Arabidopsis thaliana: one gene and its partners. The protein of the gene in region 1 interacts with the protein of each later gene in a biochemical or structural test. Each region holds a gene or a part of one and is shown on either strand. Other genes may lie near its edges. The genes, in order: AT4G22730, AT1G49100 and AT1G07650.

The links.
Region 2: the proteins of AT4G22730 (region 1) and AT1G49100 form a complex in vitro, tested with the Arabidopsis thaliana proteins (one large-scale study listed by BioGRID).
Region 3: the proteins of AT4G22730 (region 1) and AT1G07650 form a complex in vitro, tested with the Arabidopsis thaliana proteins (one large-scale study listed by BioGRID).

Annotation. Positions count from the first base shown.
Region 1 is NC_003075.7:11,939,021-11,942,779, forward strand, and holds the start of AT4G22730 (Leucine-rich repeat protein kinase family protein), read left to right. Parts: upstream 1-1,980; 5' UTR 1,981-2,363; coding exon 2,364-2,793; intron 2,794-2,881; coding exon 2,882-3,142; exon of another isoform or gene 3,143-3,229; coding exon 3,230-3,759.
Region 2 is NC_003070.9:18,168,385-18,172,143, reverse strand, and holds the start of AT1G49100 (Leucine-rich repeat protein kinase family protein), read left to right. Parts: upstream 1-2,038; coding exon 2,039-2,123; intron 2,124-2,257; coding exon 2,258-2,798; intron 2,799-2,947; coding exon 2,948-3,429; intron 3,430-3,515; coding exon 3,516-3,660; intron 3,661-3,759. Other genes in the region: AT1G49110 (uncharacterized protein), read right to left, coding at 1-431.
Region 3 is NC_003070.9:2,364,883-2,368,641, reverse strand, and holds the start of AT1G07650 (Leucine-rich repeat transmembrane protein kinase), read left to right. Parts: upstream 1-2,032; 5' UTR 2,033-2,218; coding exon 2,219-2,321; intron 2,322-2,456; coding exon 2,457-2,637; intron 2,638-3,759. Other genes in the region: DSI-1VOC (dessication-induced 1VOC superfamily protein), read left to right, coding at 293-420, 651-813, 908-1,030.

The DNA of each region.
Region 1 (3,759 bases):
AATCATACAAAAACAACTGTGAAAATACAGCACTACTAAAAAGTAAAAAGTAAGAACTTTTTAATGTAGAACGTATGAGATGGTTCAATTAATCACAAGACACTTCTATGGCATTGCGTATTAAACGAAAAGTGAGTAAATAGAATTTATACATAATGATCTAATCTTGATCTTGCTAATAAAAATTGTAAAGGCAACAACAAGTTGTCAAAAATTTCAATTTGACGTAGAGATAAATTCTATCTAATAATTTTGTAAAAACATTCGAGATATAGTGTATCATTTTTCCATCATCTAGAACTCATTTGCGTATTTTCAAGTGTAAATCAGAACCTTGACACATAGGCTACACAAATTTTGGTCGATATTTATATTACTTTTGTAGCATAATGTGGATATCCTTCTAGAGACTAGAGTTCTAGATAAAACATTCATACATGTAACTATGTAAGTAAGCATGCATACTAAATATAAAATTTTCAAAAGTTTTAAAAGACATCATATAGATTCAAAAAGACGTGGGAAAAAGGAGAAAATGACAAAAGTTATTAGTAAAACAATCAAGTAAAAGGTCAAAGTAGTTAACGAAAAGATAAAAGTATTTCAAAAGTCTTCCTTCCATCTTGAAATGCCAAAAAATAAAAGACGAATGATTGAAGATAAATCAAAGTTGTCTGATTGCTATTGTATACATCTTTTTTTTTGTTAAAACTATTGTATACATCTAAAAAACCTTGAAGTAATCAAGATCTGAATTATAGCCGTTGATAAGGTTTTATGCTTTCACATTGAACTCGATCGTCGTCGTCAAATCTACTAGTCTCGTTTTTTAGTTTTAACGTGCTTAATTACTTCACTAATTTGTTTTTTGTTATCATTTTCACCAATTTTATTCATTGTGTGAATTAAGTTTTGTCCACATAGTAAGATTCATCAGTATAATAGGACATATGATAAAAGTTTGTATATAATCAAAGAGTATATCTAAGAATATCTAATTAAGATGAATGTTTCAGTCCACATTGGATTCTGCTTATAGTCAAACTGTCTTGTTCTTAAACCCAATTAGGTTAGAATACATGTACCAACAAATAGCATTTCTATAACTAATCTTTTATCAATTTACTTTATAGCCTACAAATAATTAGAGGAAAAGAAAAGAGAGTTAGTGGAATAATTGTCCTCTAAATCTCGATATCATCATTAACTAAATACTATATTTAGACCATATATACTATATTTTATAGTATACTATATTTTATAGTATATATAATCAACTAATCATATTAGACCACTATTAGAAATATGGATCTAAAAAAAACATTCTTTAATCAGTACTATTCTCATCCAAAGACTTGTTTTAAGAGACTAAATATGAATATGTGTATGTGTATGTGTATGCAGGAGTAGACACGTGCACGTGGCACATGCAGGGAATGGGAAGGTGGAGTGTTGACAAAGAAGAAGAGGATGATCCAAGTTTCGAAATGATTCCAAAAGTTATGAACTATAAGCCAAAGTGCTCAATCGCCAAACATGAACTTAAATAAACTTCACTCGTTAGATCGTTTTCTCACATTAAAGCCGCTCTACACTTTTACCCATTTTACCATTTATAATAACCACCACACATAGATATTAAGTTCTATGGATTTTATTCGTAAACTTAAGTTATGATCAAATAGCTAAATGATTTTGCGATTTGCCCGAGTTCTGTTTGTTTCTAAAATGGTTATCCAAAAAGCATATTTTTGTTTTATATAGAATTTGTGATATAGAAGAAATATACTAAAAATGTTTTAAAGTCTGTCTAAATCATAAACCAATGCAAAGAAAGTGAAATAAACCAAGATCTCGAGCAATAGACATAATAAATAAACAAACACCTAATAACATCACATCCCCACTAACAAATGTGAACATTAACTGTTAAAAATCACCAAAAAAGTCATCAAGATTTGGCTTTCCTTTTCAAAAGCAGTATACGTCTCTGTCTCACACAGACAGTGTATTCAATGCGTTGTGTTGTCTTCCCACTTTTCACCAGCTGAGGTTCTGCTTCTTTCTCTTCTTCTCTCCAAAACAAGAAAATTCTGCAGAATAACTTTTCATTCACGAGAGTGGAAGGTTACAGTTTTCCAAATCCGAGAAACAGACACAAAATTGGTCCCTCTCTAAAAGTTACTATCTTCGTTTAACAAAGAGATAGCTCCCAATCCAGTACAAAACAGAGTACTCTGCTCTATAAATTTCGTTCCTTTATTACTCTGCTCTATAAAACAGATTATTCTGCTCTATAAGAGAGATAGATAAATGAGCTAAAGCTCAGTAATTTCTAAACAGAGAGACAAGAAAATTCAAGAATGGTTACCTTATGTGCCACGTTACTGATCCTTCTCTCAATCTTTCTTGCAACTCCGTCGAATGTTCGAGGAAATGCAGAGCTGAAGGCTTTAATGGAGCTGAAATCGTCGCTTGACCCTGAAAACAAGCTTCTCCGTTCATGGACGTTTAACGGCGATCCATGCGACGGATCTTTCGAAGGAATTGCATGTAACCAGCATCTAAAAGTCGCAAACATATCATTACAAGGGAAACGTTTGGTCGGAAAATTGTCTCCGGCGGTTGCAGAGCTCAAATGTTTGTCAGGTCTTTACTTACATTACAATAGTCTCTCTGGAGAGATACCTCAAGAGATCACAAATCTTACTGAATTATCAGATCTTTATCTCAATGTTAATAACTTCTCTGGTGAGATTCCGGCAGATATCGGCTCCATGGCTGGCTTGCAAGGTTAGCATCTTATAATGTTTCACAGATCTTTCACTTGAATGTTTACTCGATCTTCCATTTGAATGTTTTGTGGTGTCTTTTGTTGCAGTTATGGATCTTTGTTGCAACAGTTTAACAGGGAAGATACCAAAGAACATTGGATCCTTGAAGAAACTTAATGTGTTGTCTCTGCAACACAACAAACTAACCGGAGAGGTTCCTTGGACTTTAGGAAACTTGAGTATGTTAAGCAGGCTTGATTTAAGCTTCAACAATCTGTTAGGTTTAATCCCAAAAACCCTAGCCAACATTCCTCAGTTGGACACTCTTGACTTGCGCAACAATACTCTCTCTGGCTTTGTTCCTCCTGGTGAGTTAATGATTCTTGAAACGTCTTTGTAAGAGCTTATCTCTCTGTTTCTTGACTCGGTTTTTTCTTCGTTATGTTTCTTCAAAGGTCTTAAGAAGTTGAATGGGAGCTTCCAGTTTGAGAACAACACCGGGTTATGTGGTATCGATTTTCCTTCTTTGAGAGCTTGTTCTGCTTTCGATAATGCGAATAATATCGAACAATTTAAGCAGCCTCCTGGTGAAATAGACACTGATAAATCAGCTCTTCACAACATTCCCGAGTCTGTATATCTCCAAAAGCATTGCAACCAAACACATTGCAAGAAATCCTCATCGAAACTCCCACAAGTTGCTTTGATTTCAAGCGTGATTACCGTCACTATAACATTGATTGGTGCTGGTATATTGACCTTCTTTCGCTACAGAAGAAGGAAGCAAAAGATCAGTAACACACCTGAGTTTTCCGAGGGAAGACTAAGCACAGATCAACAAAAAGAGTTCCGTGCATCGCCTTTAGTGAGTCTTGCCTACACTAAAGAATGGGATCCGCTAGGTGATAGCAGAAACGGAGCTGAGTTTTCACAAGAGCCTCATCTCTTTGTTGTAAATAGTAGCTTCAGGTTTAACTTAGAAGAC
Region 2 (3,759 bases), on another chromosome or scaffold:
CCATCCATAGACGAAACCGGAACTTCAAACCTTTCCATTTCCTTGAGAACAGCCCGAAGATTATCGGCTTCGCGTAAAGCAAAACTCACCGTCTTGCGTTCAATCAGTCCTTCAACATACTTGTACAAACCGCATTTCACTCCCTCTTTCCTACAAAAATCAAGAACTGCCTCTTCGTGCAAAACATTGATGGCTACACCGAATGCAGAAACTGGCCAGTACTTGTCTCGGAGACGAACACCAGTATCACTTTCTTTCTTCATGACCGCACGAGCTATCTTTAGTTCAGAGCTATACTCAGCAAATTGAGCGTTAAACGCTCTTATCATAGCCGATTCAGCAGCCGTCCTACCTTTTGATGTCGCTCGCCTCTTTAGCTTCTCGCTGCGTTGCACTTCCACAACGGCTTCAATACCGGCTTTTGTTTTCATCCATTAAACTTCGTAGATTTGACGGAGATTCATCTCGTGGCTTAGAGGACAAATCCCTAGTGAGTTTGCCTTGGCTAACACGCTATCGCGTATATGGGAAGATACTAAATTATATAATGACACTGAATTGAGGCGAGTGTGTGAAAAAAGTAGACTATTCAGTTGCTGCCTTAATAAGTACGCTGCTTCATTTTCCCAAGAGGGATAAGAAGCACGCTGTTTCATTTTCCCATAAAGAAAACGAAAGAACCGAGTAGTTTAGACTTAAGTTATTTATGGATTAAATATAATTCTGTAGTATATTTTAAAAATAAAATGTTACTAAATTGTATTAAAAAAAATATAGCTTTTTGTATATATATAAGCTGTTTTTATAATTTAGCATAGCATTTGAAATAAAAACAGATTTTTGAGTGTAGCTGACTTCTGAAAGAGATTCATTAGCCACACGATGCAAACCTGGCTTGTAGGGCTTTGTCATAGTGTCGTTAATATGTTACATAATATATTAGAGATTAATTAATAGTATGTTGTTTTTGTTTTAAAACTTCCTAGACGAAAACCAAATCATGAAATAAAATATTGTATATTGCAAGTAAAAGATACATTTAATTGTTATCATATAGGAATTTTAAACTGCATGTGTGAAAATTCCTCTGTTTTTATAGAACTAAATCAAATGTTAGCATTAATTCAATTATTTTTTTAAACGTTGTTCAAGGATTGCATATTTTCTAATACGTCTGACCAGTGTGGTTAGAGTCTAAATGGAGTATTCTTGCCGTGTAACCAAACACCGCATCCATAGATCTTGATCTCCATTTGGGAGATTGCCTCTCTAGTTGGAACAAGTGAACTATCATCATCTTTTTTCTAACTTCTCTTTTTTAAAATTTTTTTTTGAAAATTGGGTGGTTTTCAACCTTCTTTTTCATAAAAAAAATCAGAATCATTAGAGTTGGATACACGTCTCAAAATAACATTCTATATCTCTCGTTGACATGTTCTCCATATGCTTTAAAACTAATTATAATCACTCGCAGTATTAACTTACCTTATCCGCATATATATATGTTCATCGAATGAAAACTATGAAGGTAAGGGTCAGCTATATATGAAGAGATGGAGTTGATCACTTAACTTAATGTCCCCAAACACAAATGAATAATTTTCTATACCAACTTGTTAGAAGCATCTATTAGGGAGTACTATTCTTTTTGCTTTTGGCACAGAGAACAACAAACTTTATACGATTTTTAGAGTTAAGCTCTTTGAAATAAAACCAGTCGGATAACAGAACTTTGAAATGACGCTTACTTATAGCCAAAGTTTCCCATAGGGAAAAACCCTAATTAGGCTAAAGGAAAAATAATTTTGTATTGAAATGTTAGAAAACGGCGCCTTAATGTTTTGAGTTAATGTTGTGAAATTGCAAATGTTAGAAAGTTCAGGGTTTTCTAGACATATTAGTATTTTATTTTGGCCGTTGACAATATATGGGTTTCGTTTCTTTAACTAGTATCCACTTGATCAGAACGTGATATAAAATAATATTTTGGAACTTAAAAAGATGTCAAGGGTCGTGTTATCCTCCAGAAATAGGAAAAATGGAGAAGTATTTTCATGGAGTTTTATGTGTGTTCATCATCACAGTTGCTTTTATACATGTTGTTCAGGCTCAAGATCCAAACGGTATTATCTTTAAACCTTTGAAATTAAGAAACACTCTTCATGTTCTTTTTCTTAATTTGTTTTTTCCTTTTCTGATAATTCCTTTACATTGATCCCCTTATTAGGATTTTTGTTTTGGTTTAATGTTTTATTAGGATTCATCACTTTGGATTGTGGTCTGTTACCTGATGGATCTCCATATACCAATCCATCTACTGGATTAACATTCACTTCGGATTCTAGTTTCATCGAGAGTGGAAAGAATGGCCGAGTCAGTAAGGACTCTGAGCGAAACTTCGAAAAAGCTTTTGTAACTCTAAGATACTTTCCAGATGGAGAGCGGAACTGTTATAACCTGAATGTCACACAAGGAACAAATTACTTGATTAGAGCAGCTTTCTTATATGGAAATTACGATGGTCTTAATACTGTCCCAAACTTTGATCTATTTATTGGCCCTAATAAGGTGACAACAGTGAATTTTAATGCAACCGGAGGTGGTGTGTTCGTGGAGATAATTCACATGTCAAGGTCAACCCCTTTGGATATTTGTCTTGTTAAGACAGGAACAACTACACCGATGATATCAACCTTGGAGCTACGACCTTTGAGAAGTGATACTTACATTAGTGCCATTGGGAGCTCCTTGCTCCTCTATTTTAGAGGTTATCTTAATGATTCAGGTGTCGTTTTACGGTACGTAAACTTTAATTTGTGAAATGAATCTTTTTCTTGGATCTTGGTATAAAAGATAATGAGTAAATATAAAAATATTTTTAATCTTTCTTTGATGCCAAACATCTTTGAGGTTTTGTCTAGCTATGTCTAATACAAGATACGTATAGGTACCCCGATGATGTCAACGACCGTAGATGGTTCCCATTCTCATATAAGGAGTGGAAAATTGTAACCACAACTCTCAATGTAAACACTTCAAATGGTTTTGATCTACCACAAGGTGCAATGGCATCGGCTGCAACCCGTGTTAATGATAATGGGACATGGGAATTTCCATGGAGCTTAGAGGATTCTACCACACGGTTTCACATTTACCTTCACTTCGCAGAGCTTCAAACTTTGTTAGCCAACGAGACTAGAGAATTCAATGTTTTGCTGAATGGAAAAGTTTATTATGGACCTTATAGTCCTAAAATGTTAAGTATAGATACTATGAGCCCCCAACCCGATTCGACATTGACATGTAAAGGAGGAAGTTGCCTCTTGCAGCTAGTGAAGACAACAAAGTCAACTCTTCCTCCTCTCATCAATGCTATTGAACTTTTTACTGTTGTTGAGTTTCCTCAATCAGAAACAAACCAAGATGAAGGTTCGTAAATTTACATTTTTCATACATATGAATTGTAGCTTTGAATGTGTTTGATTCTTGATATATTATTAACTATGAAATTCTAGTGATTGCTATCAAGAAGATCCAACTTACTTATGGATTGAGTAGAATTAACTGGCAAGGAGATCCATGTGTCCCCGAGCAGTTTTTGTGGGCTGGTTTGAAGTGCAGCAATATTAATAGTTCCACTCCACCAACAATCACTTTCTTGTAAGATTTTTCAATCACCATAACCGTATCATAATTAAAATTAAATTCTCTATTCTAAATATATCACAATTGAAACATTCTATTTTCATGAATGTATCA
Region 3 (3,759 bases), on another chromosome or scaffold:
CTTTTCGTCATTCTCTGTGTAAACTCCATTAAACAACTAAAAAAAGCCTCCAACATAACAGATAACCCAAGACTTTTTTCTAATCTAAAGGCCCATATGTGAGTAGTAGGCCCAAATTGACCCAAAAAAGGGAGCAAAAAGCTCACGTGGCAGCAAGTACCCTACACACGAAGGTGCATGTTGTCGACCACGTGTTGAGCTCACCGTAAAGAGAGATCCTATGTGAGGTTTGATGATGAGCATTTCCAAGGATTTCATCGGATCGAAATCAGAATCATAAGACTGGGAAAAAATGGCAGCTAATATGATGAGACCGGCGTTTGCTTACACTGTTGTGTACGTGAAGGACGTAGCTAAATCTGTAGAATTCTACTCTAGAGCTTTTGGTCACAACGTCCGTCGTCTTGACGAATCCCACAGGTTTGTATTATGAATTGTTACTATTCTCTACGTTGGATTGTCTTAGGTGTTGTTGGATACGATCATAGGAATGTAAACGACAGAATCGTATTAGGTCATGAAACAAAACTCTCGGGTTTGAGATTCTATTGGTGCGATGTCCTATAATCAGGTCCGATCCGCTGGCTAACATGCTAAGCAAACACACCAAATATATATGTTTGATGAATGAAAGAAACTGATACATACAGGTGGGGGGAGCTAGAGAGCGGGCAAACCACGATAGCGTTCACACCGCTTCACCAGCATGAGACCGACGACCTAACCGGGAAGGTTCAGGCTACGCAGTCAGCACGTGAAAGAGCACCCATCGAAGTCTGCTTCTGTTACCCTGATGTTGATGCCGCTTTCAAGGTAGAAATCAATTATTATATACTTATGTCTATATTTGCCTGTTACTCTTCAATTCGTACGTGTTGATAAACCAGTGAGATGCTGCGTTGTGCAGAGAGCGGTGGAGAACGGTGCGGAGGCAGTGAGCAAGCCGGAAGATAAAGAATGGGGGCAGAAGGTTGGATACGTGCGAGACATTGACGGCATTGTTGTACGCATCGGAAGCCACGTTAAGTGAATTCAAAATAAAGACTCGTAAAATATGATCATTAACTAGTCTATATACATATGAATAAATATTACAAGATACTTTGGTACCTTTGTTAATTATGGTTGATGTCTTGATGAATATATTTACTTAAAGCAACATGTAAAGTAAAAAGATATACAAAGTGTCCAGCCTAGTCCCCACACTCCCCTCTCTCAATTCGTTTTTTCTTTGTTAGTATCGTTACACAAAGTAGGAAACGATGTTATGATCAAAATCATAATAGTTGGATTTTTCTCCTATCCTAGTTATCTTAAACATTTATCAAATGATTCCGCGACCCAACAAAATAACAAACGAAAGAGAGTGTAAAGTTCCTTTTACCTTTTTTCTTTTTATCTTTTGTCGTAGTCGTAGTTTCGTATGTTTGTGAGTACTTTGGCTTTCCAAATTAATACGACTGGCTGTCTATCAAAGTAGCTAAACCAATAATGTAAAGATCTGTCGTATGTGGTCTTTGAAACCCAAATCAATTGTTTGTTTTATAACAATAATTGATTCTTGATTTTTGTCAAATAGAACTTATCAACAATAATTGATGAGACTCGATTATCCGCTGAAAATATTTTTATAATTATTTTAGGAGGAAGGTATCATATATATACTACTTTTCATTGTTTGCCGGCTAAATAATTTTAGGAATTGCTGACACTTAGTATAAAACATTGAACATAAGATAAGAAACTTGTTTAATATTTAAAATTCTTTACTTCCTATTTCTTAATATAATACAGAAATATTTGTATCTTTTTAACAACCAAATAAATCTTTAACCAAAACATAGACTAGTACTCTTAAAGCAAAACATAGACTAATCTCATACAAGGACTAATCCCAAAATCGCTTGGGGATATAATTTCTGAAGGGTCTCTGTCAAACCTTAAGAAAAGATATTTAAAAGTAGCACTGGGTCCTGATATAATATACATAATGTTTACATTACAGTATTACACACACACATATTAGAATGGGCTGAAGACCAAAATAGTTAAGAGAACATGACAAAGTACAGCAAACCTTATTAAATCCTGACGACTAAAGTGGTCAATAAGCTCTAGCTTCTCATCCATCACCACTTCCTAAATGTTTCTCTCTCTATATCTCTTGCAAGCTTTCTCGCAGAAGTGATACCATATTTTATTATTTTGTATAGAAAAAATGATATATTTACATCGCATATATTTCATCATCGTCCTCTTCACACTAATTTTCCATGGGCGTCTTGGTTTTTCCGACAACAATAAACTTCACGAGGCCGAAGGTACTACTATAAAGATTCTTCCTCTAGTCCTGTCTCTCGTCTGTATATGTGTGTGCATCTCTATGATTTGCAAATCAAAGCACTTTTTTTATCTTTGATGATGATGGTTGTTTGGTATGGTTTGAAATTGGGAAGTGAGGGCATTAAAGGAGATAGGGAAGAAGCTAGGGAAGAAAGATTGGGACTTCAACAAAGATCCATGTAGTGGTGAAGGCACTTGGATTGTAACAACTTACACAACCAAAGGGTTTGAGAGTAATATCACTTGTGATTGCTCCTTTCTTCCTCAAAACTCTTCTTGCCACGTCATTAGAATGTAAGTTTCTTCTTCTTCATCCTCCTTCCCTTTCTTATCTTCCTCTTTAATTTTACCCATTTATGGAAATTACAAATATCTTTAGCGTGTCGGTGCCAAGTCACGAATATTGGATTTCACAGTCTGTAAAACAAGTGTACGTAATACAAGTATGGAGAATTTCACAGTTTTTATTTTTCGGTTTGTTTGTGCTAAAAATAATTTCACAGGTTAGAATTCCTTTTTATTTTCATGGAATATGTTTAGCATTAATTAGTTTAAGCTAAAAGAGGGGAATTTTAGGGTAACAGAGTAGTGGCTAGTTTAATGATGGTGACAATGAAGGGGAAAACCACTAAATTCCTTGGTGAAGGTTGGTTGCAATATTGACTGCACAACTCACACTTTAATGACAACCACTAACTATATGCCTACAACGTCACGTTCTCTTTTATATAGTACTAAAACTTATTCTACTGTACTTATATAATCCCTTGTTGATAGTTTTACTATCTTACTATTTCTTTTTTATGACAGCACCATCTTACTAATTAACGTTTTGTATTAAAGGTAAATAGTAAACGATAATTTGAAGCATCGGTTTTAAGATAACTAATAAAGTAATGAGTGTAACTAAGAGTTAGGTGGATGTAAATTCACATGTGAAGTAAGATTAAAAAGCTTTAAGTTTGATTTGTCTCTTTGTGACGACAAGTTTATACTTGCCAGGCTGGTCGTTGACCCGTTGACCAAAGTAAACGATTCAATAGATAATAGCGCGTTTACTTTCGCTCTATTCCATAACTAGACTTTATATAAATCGCCAGATAAAAAACTATGATTTACATAATTCAAAAAACATTTAGTGTTAGTAAAAATTAGTTATATATTTGTGTCTCTTTAGACTGTTTGATCATTTTTTAAAATCATAATTCTTTTTAAAAAATTGTCATCAAAATCGTAACAAGTTTATGATCCAAAATAATATAAGAACAACCATGATCTGTAATTCTGTATTATCAAACAGTAACACTACTGTAAATTTGTTTCATTTTGAGATGATGAAAAATCAGAAATTATTTTTCTAGTACAAATTTCAGTTTTAAGAAGAATAAAACAAATTTCATACCGATGCGACAATTA